Linked DNA regions of Tamandua tetradactyla. The protein of the gene in region 1 purifies or fractionates together with the protein of each later gene. This does not show direct contact. Links are inferred from orthologs where the notes say so. Each region holds a gene or a part of one and is shown in the gene's direction. Other genes may lie near its edges. The genes, in order: KPNB1 and RANGAP1.

Region 1 (7,716 bases):
TCATCACCTATTTTCCAAAGATCAGTTACAGAAGGATAGTTGTGTCAAGTGATATAGGGGCCTTGAGCTTAATAATCCTTTTTGAACATTTTTCCCTACCTCTTTTCTTTGATTTTAATAAAAGAAGTTCTAAAACTTTTTCTGATTAAAAAAGCAATACATTAGGGTGCATGGGAGGGTCACTGGTAGAATGTTCACCTTCCATGTGGGAGATCCGGGTTCAATTACCAGACCATGCCCCTCCAACCCGCCCAAGAAAAAACAAACAAAAAAAGTAAGTAAAAAAGCAATACATTTTCATCAAAGAAAACGTGGAATACACTGAGGAGAACTAAAAAAGCATAGAAAAATTATCTGTAAATCCAGAGACAGCCATTAACAACATTTGGCTTATACATTCCCACTTTTTTTTTTCTCTTCAAGGTTACAAAAATATAACAAAAACTTTTTTCTTTGAACATTACATAACACCTTATATATTTTGCATAACTTTTTAATTGAAGTATACTATGCCTACAGAAAAATGAATGCAATCAACTAACCTTAAGTACACAGTGTCCCTTAAAGCAAAGAGGCCTAGATTTAACCCCTCTACCAATCAGTCAACTTTGCTCAGTAGAAAATGGCATCAGGGTCATGGCCTCACTGCTCCTCCCATCATAGCGAGTCACCTTACACATCTGTGCTGTGGGTCATAAGGGGGACTGATTAGGAAAATTTTAGCTCATCTCTAATATTTACTAATTCACCCACATAACAGAAACTGCTGAAAATCTCCTGGCACAAGATAATTGTAGCGAGTTCCTTCACAGAGGGGCTTCCATTTATGCTCACACCACCCTATGAGATGTTTCACAGATTCAAAAGGTTACATAGCTTGTTCAGAATCACACAGAATGAAATAGTGGAGTAAGACAAAAACGTTTTTTTCTCTTCAATTTCAGAATTTGTTCATTTTTTAAAATTAAAAAGTGTATTTATTATGAATATTCCCAACATACAAAAAAGCTATAGAGAATATAAAAAACTATGTACTCCAATACACAGCTCAGGAAATACAAGCTGAAATTCCCTGCCTATTCCTCTCCATTCTACTAAACCATGTGGCCTTCAATTTCTCTCATTCATTCCACAGTACAAGCCAGAAATCCGGTAGACACAATACACTTCCCTCTTTTTCGAGACAATCACCAAACCAACTGATTTTGCTATCTACTTCTATTTCCATCATTATCCCCACCTTTCTCCTTGCTACAAGTATCATCTCTCACCTAGATTACTGCAATGGCCTGCTGACCGGTCTACCTGCATCTATTCTTGTTCCTCTCCAATCTATCTCCACATCACAACCATCCTTCTTGAAACCTTTCAATAGCTCCTGTTGTATCCCCTATATGATACAGATAAAACCCCTTTCAGTCTGCAAGGTCTCTTATGGTCTTGGCCCCACTTAACTCTCCAGCTTTATCACAACCCCTTGTTCTCCATGTTTTGGGGTACTGGCCTTCTTTCAGTTCCTTGAAGACCCCAAGGCCCTCCCACCAAGGGGCCTTTGCACATGTTGCTCCTCCCTTCATCACCTGAGTAACTAACTCCCTTCCCATCCTCTAAGCTTTCCCTGAGCCTCTGTCTGGGTCATTCCTTGGCATCTTTCACTTTCATAACTTTATATTTGGATGTGAGATTAACTAAATCTATGTTCATTAGTACACCGAAGACCAAAAACTTCTGAGCACAAAATACAAGCCAAATAGATGCATATTTATACATCTATATATACATAATATGCCAGGTAGTGTTATTAGCACTTAATATATATTAACTCATTTAGTACCTCCCAACAACCCTATGAAGTAAATACTGTTATTAGCTCCATTTTACAAGTGAGGAAAGTAAGTCACACAAGCTAAGAAGTGGTAAAGCTGGGTTATGAACCCATGCAGTCAATTCCCAATGTGTTGCCCAACGCTATGGGGCTTCACTAGCATTGTCAAATACAGAAGAGTGCTTTGGATACAGCTTGTCACCTATCACCTAAACACTATCACCTGTAATTATTCAATTTTGGTTTTGGTAAGGATCTTATATATGATGGAACTCTGCTGCAAAACTTATCTTCCCAGCATTTTATTTCAGTTAGTTTAACAATCAATTTGCCTTCCGAACTATGGTGTATATTACAATGGAATATTGTGTGGCTACAGAAAGGAATGAAGTCCCATGAGGTGAACAAACTGTGAGGACATTATTTTGAGCAAAATAAAAAAATAAAACCAGAAAGAGAAGGACAAATATTGTATGGTCTCTTTTAGAAACTATATTATGAAAAAATTAGGAGCTAGATTATAAACTCTTACAATAGTCACATTTATTCCTAAGATTTAAGTTTTACTTCTAGATTCTGAGATGCTATGCTCTTTGTGTACAACCTGTTATTTACCTGGAACTTTGGGTACTGGAGTGACAACTAAGACTCAAAGTGGGAGTTCTGTAGCTTTCAAAGACCTACAGCAGGGCCATGATGGCTCAGCGGCAAGAATGCTTGCCTGTCATGCCAGAGGACCCAGGTTCGATTCCCGGTGCCTGCCCATGTAAAAAAATAAAAAATTTAAAAAATAAAAATATAAAAAAAAGACCTACAGCAACTGTTAAGTCAAAAAAAAGATTAGACTTCAAGTAGAGATAAGAACAAAGCTGATCTGCTTGGGACTGAGGTAAATCAGAATACATGGTAAATAATGTTATTGTCTGTATTATATAATTCATCTACTATATGAAACTGAAAGAAGAGATGCTTATTTTATCCAAACTTAAATTTTCTGTAGCACACAATCTAACAACCAAAAAATCAATTTGCCTTCACTGGCGTTATCATGACTAATACTGAGCAGAGGAGATGGCCCATCAAACTTCTGGAGGGCAGGAAAAAGTTGGTTTGGAGTGAAACAAAATTGTGTATCATTCAGTGAGTAAACCACGTCAGGACAATTCAAAGACTGTCCTGTGCTCACACAAGCTTCACTGATTCCTAACAAAGTTAAACTTCATCTATCAGTTAACAGATGAAGCAAAAGGCTGGAGCTAGGTGGAATACTAAACCTGAAAAGATCAATAAGTTACAGGATGGTGTGAGGAATGGTGTCCCCTCACTTTCAGCTTCAGGACTGCAGATGTCTCTACTTTTCGTTTCAGAGGGTAGCTGGCCAGATTTTCCTATATCTTCAGTGGAACCTCTCAGCATGGACAAATTATCTCCTGGGTTTTCCCAGTGTGGTTCAAGTAGGGCAATTACTTCGTAACACCAAGGCAAATGAAAAATAACTCTCTTCAATCAAACCTATGATCAATAAGGTAAAAAAATTTAACAGTCTAGGAAATTCCTAACCTGGGGCCCATGTACTATGCCACGTTTTCTTTATGTGCATTTTGCTAATCCTTTATGCCCATACACCCATTCTTTCTGGTTCGCAGATGTGTTTTATAAGGTAACCTTTGGAAGATGAAATTCATCTCTATTCCTTCAATTACCTGGTAGCTAAAGACCGGGCACTTAAGAGGAATCCAAATGCCTATCCGTATTCGAGTTAGGACTTGTTACAGCACAGGCCTAAAACCCCCCCAAAAAATGTAGGACTGCTAATGCATTCATCTCCTTGGAGGGGAAGCCGCATGCAGGGTGAAGGGCAGTCAGGGGCACTACAGTCTATCCTGACCAGGCCACTATCCGGCTGTGTGACCTTGTAAAATTCCATACCCTCTCTGGCCTCAGTTTCCACATGTGCAAAATTAAAGTTGAACCAAATGGTCTCCAAGGTAGTTCCCAAACGAAAGTCTGGTGCCAAATAGACCTAACCATTAAAACAGCTTCCTGTGAGCGCGGCAGAGATTTAACGGTCTCCCCTCCCCCGCTCAGGACCGCCAAGCACTCACACAACACACCCCTCGGAGCAAGGGCGCTTTCTCAACCGCAGCCCGAAGCGGCCCGAGCAAAGCGCCGCCCCTTCCCGGGGGCGTCCCATCGTGCCCTGCGCCGGGCACCCAAAGCACCCTGGCGCCTCCCGCCTTCCCGCGGACCCGACCCCGAACTCTTCTCCCAGTTCTCCCGGGCGCGCTATCCTATCGACGTCTAGTATGCCAGCCAATCACCCGAGCTTGGAGCCTTGCCTTTAGTCCATCCTCCTCCAAGCGCTCAGCGTGTCTAAGCTCAAGGCCTTTACCAGGCCAATCCAACCCGCTGCCGGCTCTCGCCGGCCCCACCCCAACCTCCCTCACGTCGGCCAATCCGCGCGCTCCATTTCCCTGCCCGCCCAGCCAATCCGGGTCATGAAGCCAGCGGGCGAATTGGCGCACGGCGGCCCTTCAACCCTGCCCGCCTGACCAATTGGGGATTCCGCGTGCCCACGGCAGCAGCCAATCGAACTGGAGCGCGGTGCCGCCGCGGCGAGGTCCGGCCCGAATATCCCTCCGCCTCCCTCCCTCCCTCCCTCTCTCTCCCTCCCTGCGAGTCGCCGTTCACTCACTGCCTCTCTTCCTTCTTTCTCCCTCCGCCACCCGAACACCAGCCGCGATCTGAGCTGCCCCCGGGGTGCCTACCCCACCGCTACAAGAGTAGTTGCCGCGGCCGCCAGCAGCAAAGTAGGAGGGAAGAAGGAAAGAAAGAAGGAAGGAAAGGGCGCCGGAACTACCAAGAGGGAACCGGTGAATGGGCTTGTGGTGACCCCCGCCCCCCACCCCACCCTCCCTTCCCACCCGACCCCCAACCCCCACCCCCAGTTAGAGCCGCCGCCCGAGAGGCCGGACCATCGTCCTAGGGGAAGTCGCTGCTATCACCTCCGCCATGGAGCTAATCACCATCCTCGAGAAGACTGTGTCTCCCGGTAGGACGCGGGGGCTGGGGGTTCGGGCTGAGGTGATTTTAAGTGGGGGGAGGGGAGGCCCAGGCCCCTTTGACCCTGTTCCCTTTCCCACTTTGCTTCCCCCCAGATCGGCTTGAACTGGAAGCGGCGCAGAAGTTCCTGGAGCGTGCGGCCGTAGAGAACCTGGTGCGTGCAATCCCGCCGTTCCCTATCCCGCCGTCTCCCCATCTCCTGCGTCCGGGGCCTTCCCGCCCTCCTGGAGGCCCAGGCCTCGGGAACCTACCCCGCCCCATCCCGTCCCCCTCCCCCCGCCCGGCTCCAACCTAACCCCGCCATCGGGAAGCCGGTGGGTGTGTCCCGCCCCGGGCCCCTGAAGCTGGCCAATGACGCGGCTCACCGGGGTGACTGCCGCCCAATCATCGCACGGCCTGAGGGCGGCGGTGCAGCGGGAGGGAGAAAGAGGGAGGGAAGGGAAGTTAGGTTGCGCCGCGCTGCGTGTTCGGCGAGGGTGGGGGTGGGGGAGCCGGGCCTAGGGGCCATGTGGAAGCTCAGAGCCCAGCTGCCCGCTCTGCTCTAGACCCGAACCGGCTTCCTCTTCCTGTCCCATGGCCCCTGTGGTTTTCCATCTACTTACCAGACCTCAACTCTTACCGATTTAGCTTGGCCTGTGCTCACCGCCAGGCCTAGCACCCGAATGCCAGTTAACCCATGTCTCCTAATATTTCTCCCTATACTGCCTGATTTGTTCTTTCCTGGGTTTTTTGGTGTTTTTTTTTATTTTTTTAACATCCATGAGTAGATATTTGGAATCTGTACTCAGACTGGGGTTCATTCTTGATCGGTCCTATTTCCTGAGGAAATCACAGAGCAAAGTTCCTCATTTTGGAGTTTTCAGATTTAAGGAGCACATTTTCTGTTTGAGAATGTGGGATGGATTGATTGAAACAAGCCGTGTGCCACTTGCTTCCCTTCGGTTTCCCTGTATTTGGGAGGATGTGGAGCAGAGGGAAAGGTGGATGATACTTGACATCTTTTGAAAGTATAAGTAATATGTAGTTAACACTGTAACCAAATGGGTCACTTTGAGTTATTTAGATAAAATAATGTAAGAAAGAAGTGGCAAGTCTTATTTCATACAAACTACCTTTGAATAGTTTCTTCTGCTGATATTTTTACCCTTAATTTTCCCCAGAAAGGATTTTTCCACTAGTATAGACACCCGTTTCTGCTTTTGCTAATTTGCAGAAGCCTTCATACCTAGCATGTTATAATGATACAAAACTAAATACGACTTTTAAGAATTATCTTCTGATGTGAAAATTCTATGGTGAACAGTAGTTGTTAGTAGTCAGAAACTCTCCTTTTGGCTTTTCCTGTTAACTTTTACATTTGAGTAGGGCTTTTGGGGGTGCAGGAATGTGTGTGTGTGTCAGAAATCGTAAGGGGTGTGGTTTGGGGACTTGTGTGTTATAAGAGATTGAATATATTTTTTAGGGCTCCATTAAGTTTCGTGGATAACTAATACCAAACTGTATAGAGGCTTTTAGCCATTTATATTTGTCATATTCTTTGGAACAATTTGCCTTGACAGTTTTTATCTTTTCAGTTTTTCTCTATCCCAGTTTCTAATACTTATCACTAACTTTTTCTTGTAAATCTACTTTTTTTTCCCTTTGTTCCCCTTTTGCTGAAAGTTGGTTCATGCTTGCAACTAAAGTACAGAGGACTAGGCTCCTCAATCTGTTTTAGATTTCCCTACAAGTATTTTCCTCTCATACAAGATTTTCTGTTTTCATGAGATCAAAAGTCACACTGAAATTCTTTTTGGACTAAAGTTTTTAAAAGAATATCAATTTTACATTCCTGTCATAACGTTAATTCATTCAACGTATACTTAGTTACAAGCACTATTTTAGGCGTTTGGGACATTTCAGCATGAAGGTCCATTGCCTACCAGATTGCAAACTTGCTTTAAATCTGGGGATGTGATTTGAAAACTTGGGCTCTAAGAATGACCTTGGTAGGAAAATCTGCCACTCTTGTATTGTTTGCCATTGCCTGAGAAGACTATTTACTCATATGTTAAGTTACATTTAAATGGAATTTTTGAAGTAGATATTTTGGAGTTTTCTGTGGCACTAATAATCTGTCCTTAAAAGGAAAAAAGGTTTCATGCTCCATAAGCTATCCTCAACTGGTGAAACTCCTACCAGATATTTTCATTCGCAAATACATCTCTTAACAGCCCACTTTCCTTGTGGAACTGTCCAGAGTGCTGGCAAATCCAGGAAACAGTCAGGTTGCCAGAGTTGCAGCTGGGCTACAAATCAAGAACTCTCTGACATCTAAGGATCCAGACATCAAGGCACAGTATCAGCAGAGATGGCTTGCTATTGATGCTAATGCCCGACGAGAAGTCAAGAACTATGTAAGTAACTTTCTCTTTTTCGTCATAATGTTTAGGGATTAAACATGTTGGTTCTTTTGTCATTTGCTGAACTGGAGCTCACAGTATGATAGGTTTCAGGAACCTGAACCTCACTTGAAGATAAAAATTGTGCTTGATTTAAATATTTTTCTCAGTTCAACTTGTCCGTTTTCACTGATGGAATGGACTTATTTTCAGATAACCTAGGTGGACATAGCTGTTTGGGAAAACTTTAGATCGGTGATTAAAGGAATTTGTAGAATCCATTTGGTAGATTGGAATGGTACATAAATTGGTACTTCCGAAACTTGGGTATGTCAGAATACTTAGGGAATTTGCTAATAATATTATAATATTAATTTCTAAGATTTTTCTAGAGATTCTGATTTAATAGGTCTAGAATAAGTTTCAGGAATTATTTTTAAAACTGTC
Region 2 (7,774 bases), on another chromosome or scaffold:
GAGTGTGTTGAAAAGGACCCCAGAGGTCTGGCTTCTACTGTTTGTTTGTTTGTTTTTGTCTAAAGTTACTGTGTAACTTTTGCCAGGTTATTTAACTTCTCTGGTCCTCAGGAAAAGGGTGGCCTAATTCAGTTCTACCCATCCATCCATAAAGGCTGAGTCCACTTCTTGGGCCAGGCAAATAGATCAGGTCTCAGGTGATATCTTGAAAGAAAGTTGGAAAAAGGGAAAGTGAGAAAAAGATGACAAATGTGGTTGTTGGGAAACAAATGATGAATCTGGACTTTTCTGACTCACTGTGCAACGTTGGCAAACCTCCTTCTCTTTAAGTCCTAGTATCCCTACCCATAAAGGAGTTTGAGATAGACTCTAGATTCAGGTGTTACAAACAAAATCTGGATTGCTCAGAGGTGTGGTCAGGCTGGGTTTTTTATTTTTAGCTTTGCACGTGAATGCCTTCAGTCAGAAATTTTCTCTAGTCCTCCACAAGCCCCACCAGGCTTTTTAATAATTCCTATTACCTGCTTGACCCTTGAAGGCCGTTGAGTTTCTGCTAAGAATTCCCTTTCAGTTCTGATAACCCTATCATCTATCTGCTGGATGAAGAAGGGGAAGTTCACCTAAGCAACTAAAATGTTCTATTGCCCATCTTCTTCTCTTTGGGAAGTCTCTGTCTTGAGATCCTCAAGTCTCAAGGAGTAAAACCGGAAAACGGAGACTGGAGATTACCCCAAGGAAAATCCAGACTGATTTTGATCAATCTTAGCTGGAATCGGCGCAGAAACAGCATCAAACCTAATTGGGAGTGCTTGTTCTGATGGCAAACATCAGATGACCCTGACAGGAATCCTCAAATGAGGAAACCCAAAACATCAGTGATGCCAGGCCCAAAGGGGATGCAGCTCAGGTGGATACAGTGCCTGTTCTCAGAGGCCCTCCCAGGCTAGGTAGGAAGCTAACTCTGACTGTGGGAAAGCTCTCAGAGCCATGTGCCAACTACTGTGGGGACTCAGAACTGGGCGAGACTAATTCTGGCTGCAGTGGTTTAGGAAGGCCTTCAGGATGAGGGGGAATTGACATGGACTTTGCAGGCAGAGGAGAGGGAGGGGAAGCAATCTGGTGTGGGAAAGAGGACACATGGGGCAGGTGTCACCTCTAAGCAGCTGTTTGAACCAGGGATGTCACATTAGGTCTGGAGAGTTAGCTTTCTCATCTTGATGCTGGGAAGGCTGGGAAAATGCCCACTTCCTGTGTGGTTGTAAAGATTAAATAAGCTATGTGTGCAAGAATCTGGCACATAATATACTTAACTGAATTGCAGGTAAAGCAAAAGCATATGTGTAGGCTGGATTGTGAGAGGTAACTGGAAAAGAAGGTTGCATATGTTGACAGTTATTATCTCTAGATGCTTAGGTTTCAGGTGAGGTTTACTTTTTTTTCTCCTATTCTATATTGGTTGAATTGTTTATAATGAATACATGTTTTTAATATAATGGTTAAAAAGCTGTTTATAAAAAACAAAAGCTATTTGCATTTTTATACTTTAAAAAAAGTTGCAAAGAACTCCCGTATACTGGATTTATTAATGTTTTGCCACATTTGCTTTACCTTTCTCTATGTATACATATACATGTACATATACATTTTTTTCTCTGAACCATTTGAGAGTAAGTTGCAGACATCATGCCTTTGTCCCTAATTATTTCAGCATCTGTTTCCAAAGAACAAGGACAGTCTCTAACATAACCTAGTCCAATACTCAACATCAGGGTATTTAACTTTGATACAATTGTATTATCTAATGTACAATCAGATTTTGCTAATAGTATCAATATTGTCTCCTATGACAATCTTCCCAGGATCCAATCCAGGATTACGCATTGCATTTAGTCGTGTCTTTTTACTATAATCTGCAAGGGTTCCTGTTTTTCTGCCCTTCATGATATATTTTTGGAAGAGTACAGAAGAGTTTTTCTGTAACAAGTTTCCTCAAGATTAATTTTATGCATTGTTGACAGGATAGTCATGCCGTGTCCGTCTCAATGCATCACATCATGAGGCGTGGGGTGTCGGATGATAACTTTAATTACTTGGTTAAGGTGGTGTCCGCAGAGTTTCTCTACTATAGAATTATTATTACCCCTTTTTGATTACCAAGTAATGTATGGCTATTTATGAAGAAGACTTCGAATGCCCTTTAAATTCAATGAGACGAAAAAACACGAGTTTTTTCTTTCAGGAAATGGATACTTGATTTCTTGCTGAGGAGATTTAGCAGCACGGCTTCGGAAGTACCAGCCGTTATCAATAAAGTTACGTGAAGATAAACTTTCCGGAAGGGCTGGGACAGCCGTGCTGCACGGCATTAGGGGAATTGTAGTCTCTCTGCGCGCTTCCGGTTAAGCACCGTCCCGTGGCCTGCCCGAGAAAGAGCCAGACGTCGAAATGGGAGGACGACGGCTGTGGCACTCTGGAGGGCGGTGCGTCACGGTACTTGTAGTTCACAGTATGCGCCCCTGCCATGTAACTCCGGGCCCCGCGCAGAAGGACTGGACTACTATACCCGATAGGCCACGCGCGCGGGGGGCAGGGGAAGCCGGCCTGGGCCTCGAACAAATCAAATCGAAGGCAAGAAACTGCCGGCTTTCAAAATCCTCCTCCTCCGCCATCATCCACCGCGGTGTGGGGAGCAGGTGGTGTCTGCGACGTGAGTGACGAGAAGCGCCGGGAGAGCAGACAGCCTAGCGGGCTGAGCATCAAGATCTCTGGGCCCAAAGGCGGCGACCCCGACCTGACCTGACCCGGACCCTAAACCGGTCCCCACCCCGCCGGGCGGACGCGCGTGTTCGGTTCGCCCCACGCGGCGGCGCTGCCTGTTTACGGTAGGGTAGGGGTCCCTTTCCTTTGCCCGTCACCTGCCTAGGGGCGGAGGGAGCGGCCCTGGAACTGAGTAAGGAAAGTGTGGCGCCCCTGAGCGCCTGCTGCGTGCCTCCTTGGCGATGTCCCCCGCGTCTGCGATTGCCAAGCTCGGAGGTGGGGGGTGAGAGGCGTTTGTGCCTTTCTCAAATGGGGAAGCTGAGGCATAGAGAGGATGTCAAATTCTCTGGAGCCGCCCAGTCCATGCCTGCCAGCTGTGGCGTCTCATGTTGGCATCTGTGGCTTCTGGAGGCGGTGCGAGTCTTCCGGGAATCTCGGATGAGGCTCCCGCGCTGCCCGCCTGTCATTTATGGCCTGCAGTCGCGCGTCGCTCTCCCATCACTGACTCCCAGTAGGCCCACAAAGTCTCCGATGCTCCTGCAGAGGAGGGGCTGTCTTGACTCTGCCGCTAACCCCTTGCTGACCTAGGAGAAACAAATTTACATCTCTGTGTTTCGGGTTTTTTGGTCTTTAGAGTTAATTGGGGCGGTGGGAAGGTGACTGGAGGAGTGGACCCCCTTCAGCTGAGAAGCTGCATCCCTGTTCCATCTGGAGGCTCCACCACCACTTTTGTAGCCTCAAATTGTCCCACACCAGAACTGCAAGAGGTGGTAGGGTTTAGGTTAATTTTTATTAAGTTTCACTCCCTCATTCTTTGAGCACCTTCTAAATGCCAGGCCTTGTGCACAGATAGAGTGATCCTGTCAAAGCATTCCCCAGTTCACAGCTCTTCTCTACTAGAAACTTTCCACTGTCTCTTGTCATTCAGAGAAAAAGCCATGGTCCTTAAAATGGCTTTATGATACCCCGTCCCCCTTAGCTCTCTGTTCGTTCTTACCTCCTTTCTCCCTCCTTCACTGTGCTCTTCGCTTAGCGCCCTCTGGTCTCCTTGCAGTTCTCCAACACCCCCCTCCCGGCGAGAGCCTTTGCCTTTGCTATCCCCTTTTGTGGGAATATTCTTCACCCAGGTGGCTGCAGGCCCCAATCTCTGACACACTTCAGGTCTTTATTAGTTGCCTCCTTCCTAACAATACCTTCTCTAACCATTCTACTTTAAACAACCAAAAAAAAAAAAAAAATCCTTCTTTACTCTCTTCCCCATTGATTTTTCTTATCATTAATGTACTAAACATCTGCTTCAGGAAGATGTTTGTCTGTTATTCTCTGCTGTACTCATGGTACCTGGAAAAATGTCCAACCTGTAGTAGTACTCAATAAATGTTTTTTGAAGGAATGAATGCTTATACTCAATGAATAAGTCAGGCTTATTATTAAAGACAGACAGACAAACAAACCAGGGTTAGAAGGGGAGAAAACATTGGACAGTTGTTTGGTTGAGCCCAGAGAAAGCCTAGGGAAGTGGAAGAATGGGGGAGCTCTCATAGCTGCCTCTTGAGGATGAGTAGATTGGGGGAGGAGACAGTCTACATAAAAGGAGTCTCTCTAAGCACCTCCTAGTTCTGTTCCCCATATCAGCAGTCTTCCTTGGTCTCCCCTGATTACCTGCCTGTACCCCTTTGGTAAAGTGGAGTTGTCCTTTCTTGCTGGTCTACTGAGCTCCAGGTAGGAAACCCCTACCTGGTAGGAAACCGCTACCTGGTAGAGTTTTCTGGCAACTCTACCCCTGACCTATTGTGATGGTGCTATTGTGATGTAGAGATCTCTGGTCTCCTAGAAACTCTGAGGTCTGACCACCATGGACTGCAAGGTTGAAACCAGCCAAGCAGTGGGCCAACCCCTGTGCCCCACCCCCAGAGTCATGCCAGCGTGGGCGGTGAGGCATTCCCTGGGATGGATGACCTGGACCCCATAGCCATCTATGTCCTGTTTGAGGAATGGGACCCTCAAACAGAGAGCAGCCAAGATGATCAGGCAGGTATGTGATTGGATCAGACTCTTTGCATCATGTAGCCTTGCTAGGTGCTCCTAGCTGGAGCAATTGGGCCGAGCAGGACTTATAGTGAGATAGTAACTCTTTAGCGGTGAAACATGGTTTTTCTACTTTAAGAGAGTAAAACATGATTTATCTATTTCTTTGTTACCTCTTTCCCTTTTCTAGAACTGTTCTTCCTTGATGCTGTTTTCATCTCTCAGTGGTGTAGCTCTTAGGGTCTTAATAGCAGGGGTAAGTGAGATCAGACCCCTGAGATGGTTGATTCCCACCCACCCCCTCAACCAGGTATCTTAATGCTACTTCTGCCTCTTCAGTTTACAGATCTCCAGGGGACTCCACCATCATGGCCTCCGAAGACATTGCCAAGCTTGCAGAATCACTGGCCAAAACCCAGGTGGCCGGAGGACAGCTGAGTTTCAAGGGCAAGAGCCTTAAACTCAACACAGCAGAAGATGGTGAGTGCCTGGACGGACTTGTTCAGGGGAGGAAAGGGAGTGTGTGAATGAACACTTAAAACTTTTCCTATTTGTCAGGCATATGTGGCTGCAGCAACTCTATTATGTATCCAGTAGGCCTATTCTAATGATCAGGCTCAGAGACATTAACGATTTACCCATGAGCTTGTGCAGGCTGCCCTACTCTCTTCATGCTTGTAGTGACAGCTCAGGCTGCCAGATGGGCAAAGCCTCTTTACCTCTCAGAGGGAGGAATGGTAGGTTATAAGGGGCCACAATTAATCGTGGTCCCAAGATTTAGCTCTGACTTCTGACATCAGATCTGGTGTTCTTTCTACCCCCATTTTCACTTCCTGGGAACATCAGCTGTTGTCCATGTCGAGGTACAAATAAGCAGCACCTCAGGCCCTCCTGGGAGTCTGGTCAGTGCTCCCAGATACCTTGAGAGAGGCATGGATGTCCATGTCTCTGTGGAGGGCATTGGGACTGCAGAGAATGCAGACCCTGTCTTTCCCCACCCCTAGCCTAGGCATGGCTGGCGCTGACCAACCCTGAATTCCCTGGTGTCTAGAACAGAAGATGCTGATGTCAATGCTTGTAAGACCTCTTGGGGTTTTGCCTCAAACAGGGAAACTGGTCTGGACTTGCCTGGTTGTCACTGTGAGCAGGTGGGCTTGCTCACCTCCCCTGGGTCAGAGTCCGTGGGTTGCTGGGAGTGTGGTGATGCACATTACATTCCTAACATCTCTGTAGGGCCTTAGAGTTCACCAAGCATCTCTCTCTGCTTTCATCACATCGTCCCTGTGGGAGGTAGGAGGAAATGCTGCTTTGTTAATTAGGAAAAAAGACTTGGGAGACTTAGGTAACTTGCCCTAGGTCCCACAGCTGGTTAGTAGCAGAGCCAGCATTTTAACATAGGTCCTGTGCTTCTCACTGGATGTTGAGCTCAGTTCAGTAACCATGGTCTTGCTATAAAATGCCATCTATTAAACACTTACTCTGTGTCAGGCAGGGTGTTAGGGACCATACAAATAGTACCACTGTTTATCCTCACAAAAGCCCTTGAGGTATAGGCTTCATCTTCATTTTGTAGATTGGAAAACAGGCTCACGGAAGTTGTCAGACTTATCTGAGGGCATAGCTGGTAAGTGCGGAGCTGGGGTTAGTACTTAAGTTTGTCTGACTCTGAACTTTATGGAGGTAACCTCTTCACCACATCAGCATGGGCTGAACTTGGTACTTGCTTTCATAGGTCACCAGGAGTACCCAGATTGCCCTCAATGTGGAAAGGAAATGAGGTACTGAAGTGACTAACAGGAAGCAGAATGTGAAACGTACTCTAAGAGACATAAACAAAGGACTTTGGAAACTAAGGGGAGAGAGCTCACTTTTAGCTTAGGAGGGTCTGGACAGTATCCATGGATGAGATTTGAACTGTCATGAAAGGATGATTTGAAGGAGAATCGTTACTCCAAACAGGGAGAATCGCATTGATTAAGGTCCAGAAACTAAAACAAGTAGTGTGGGTTTGGGAGAAGTGAACTCTGTTAGTTGTCAGAACCCCATAGGGATCCCAGGGCAGAGGCCCTTGAATACTGTACTGAGGAACCTGGGGTTCAGTTTTGGGCCTACGATTCACCTTGATGCTGATTGTGGCTGATAGCCGGTGGTGATCCAGGAGGGCAAATGCCTGTGTGAAGGGGCCCTGAAGTTGATGATTATAATGAGACCCTGTTCTCTCTGCAGTAAGTCATGGAAAGATCAAAGAGGCTTTCTGCTTTACCTGTCAGGATAACAATCCTCAGGAACTTGTTAGTCTGTGATGTGGTACAGGCTGAAAAGAGAAATTCCTGCCAAACAGCTTCGTAACAATTGGTTGTTCAGGAGTGACTGGGGCCCATCCCTAACCTATTGTATAGGCCATACAGTCTTTAAATTATGCATTACTCCATTTGAATCGAAAACCAAAGGAGAAAAGCAAACCCACTTACGACCCTATTGTTCTCCTGTCCCTGTTTTGTTATGTTTCCTAATAGACTTGCTCTGTAAGTGTGACTTCCCCTGGGCTGAAATTGTAGGAAGCATGGTACATGTGCATCTGTGTGTTTAAGGTACTTTCACAGCTTAGGTTTTTCCTTGGGGCCCTGGCATCTGACACCTGGTCTTTGGGGACTGTATAAACATTCTATTTTCTCTCGCCTTGTTGACCTGATCAGTACTCAGGGGTTAGAAGGTGTTCTAGTTTGCTAGCTGCCGGAATGCAACACACCAGAGACGGATTGGCTTTTAATAAAAGGGGATTTATTTTGTTGGTTCTTCAGAGGAAAGGCAGCTAACTTTCCACTGAGGTTCTTTCTTACGTGGAAGGCACAGGATGGTCTCTGCTGGTCTTCTCTCCAGGCCCCTGGGTTCCAACAACTTTCCCCGGGCCGACTTCTTTCTGCATCTCCAAAGGTCTGGGCTGAGCTGCAAGTGCTGAGATGAGGAATGCCGAGCTGCTTAGGCTGTG

Evidence for each region.
Region 2: the proteins of KPNB1 (region 1) and RANGAP1 purify together in Homo sapiens (affinity purification with mass spectrometry; 3 studies listed by BioGRID and IntAct, with this or other methods). This does not show direct contact. The link is inferred for Tamandua tetradactyla from reciprocal best matches to the Homo sapiens genes KPNB1 and RANGAP1.

What each region holds. Positions count from the first base shown.
Region 1 is NC_135332.1:29,005,688-29,013,403, forward strand, and holds the start of KPNB1 (importin subunit beta-1), read left to right. Parts: upstream 1-4,483; 5' UTR 4,484-4,837; coding exon 4,838-4,877; intron 4,878-4,983; coding exon 4,984-5,042; intron 5,043-7,101; coding exon 7,102-7,284; intron 7,285-7,716.
Region 2 is NC_135333.1:34,451,726-34,459,499, reverse strand, and holds the start of RANGAP1 (ran GTPase-activating protein 1), read left to right. Parts: upstream 1-4,591; 5' UTR 4,592-4,707; coding exon 4,708-4,792; intron 4,793-4,975; exon of another isoform or gene 4,976-5,041; intron 5,042-5,124; coding exon 5,125-5,265; intron 5,266-7,774. UniProt on the Homo sapiens protein: GTPase activator for RAN. Converts cytoplasmic GTP-bound RAN to GDP-bound RAN, which is essential for RAN-mediated nuclear import and export. Mediates dissociation of cargo from nuclear export complexes containing XPO1, RAN and RANBP2 after nuclear export.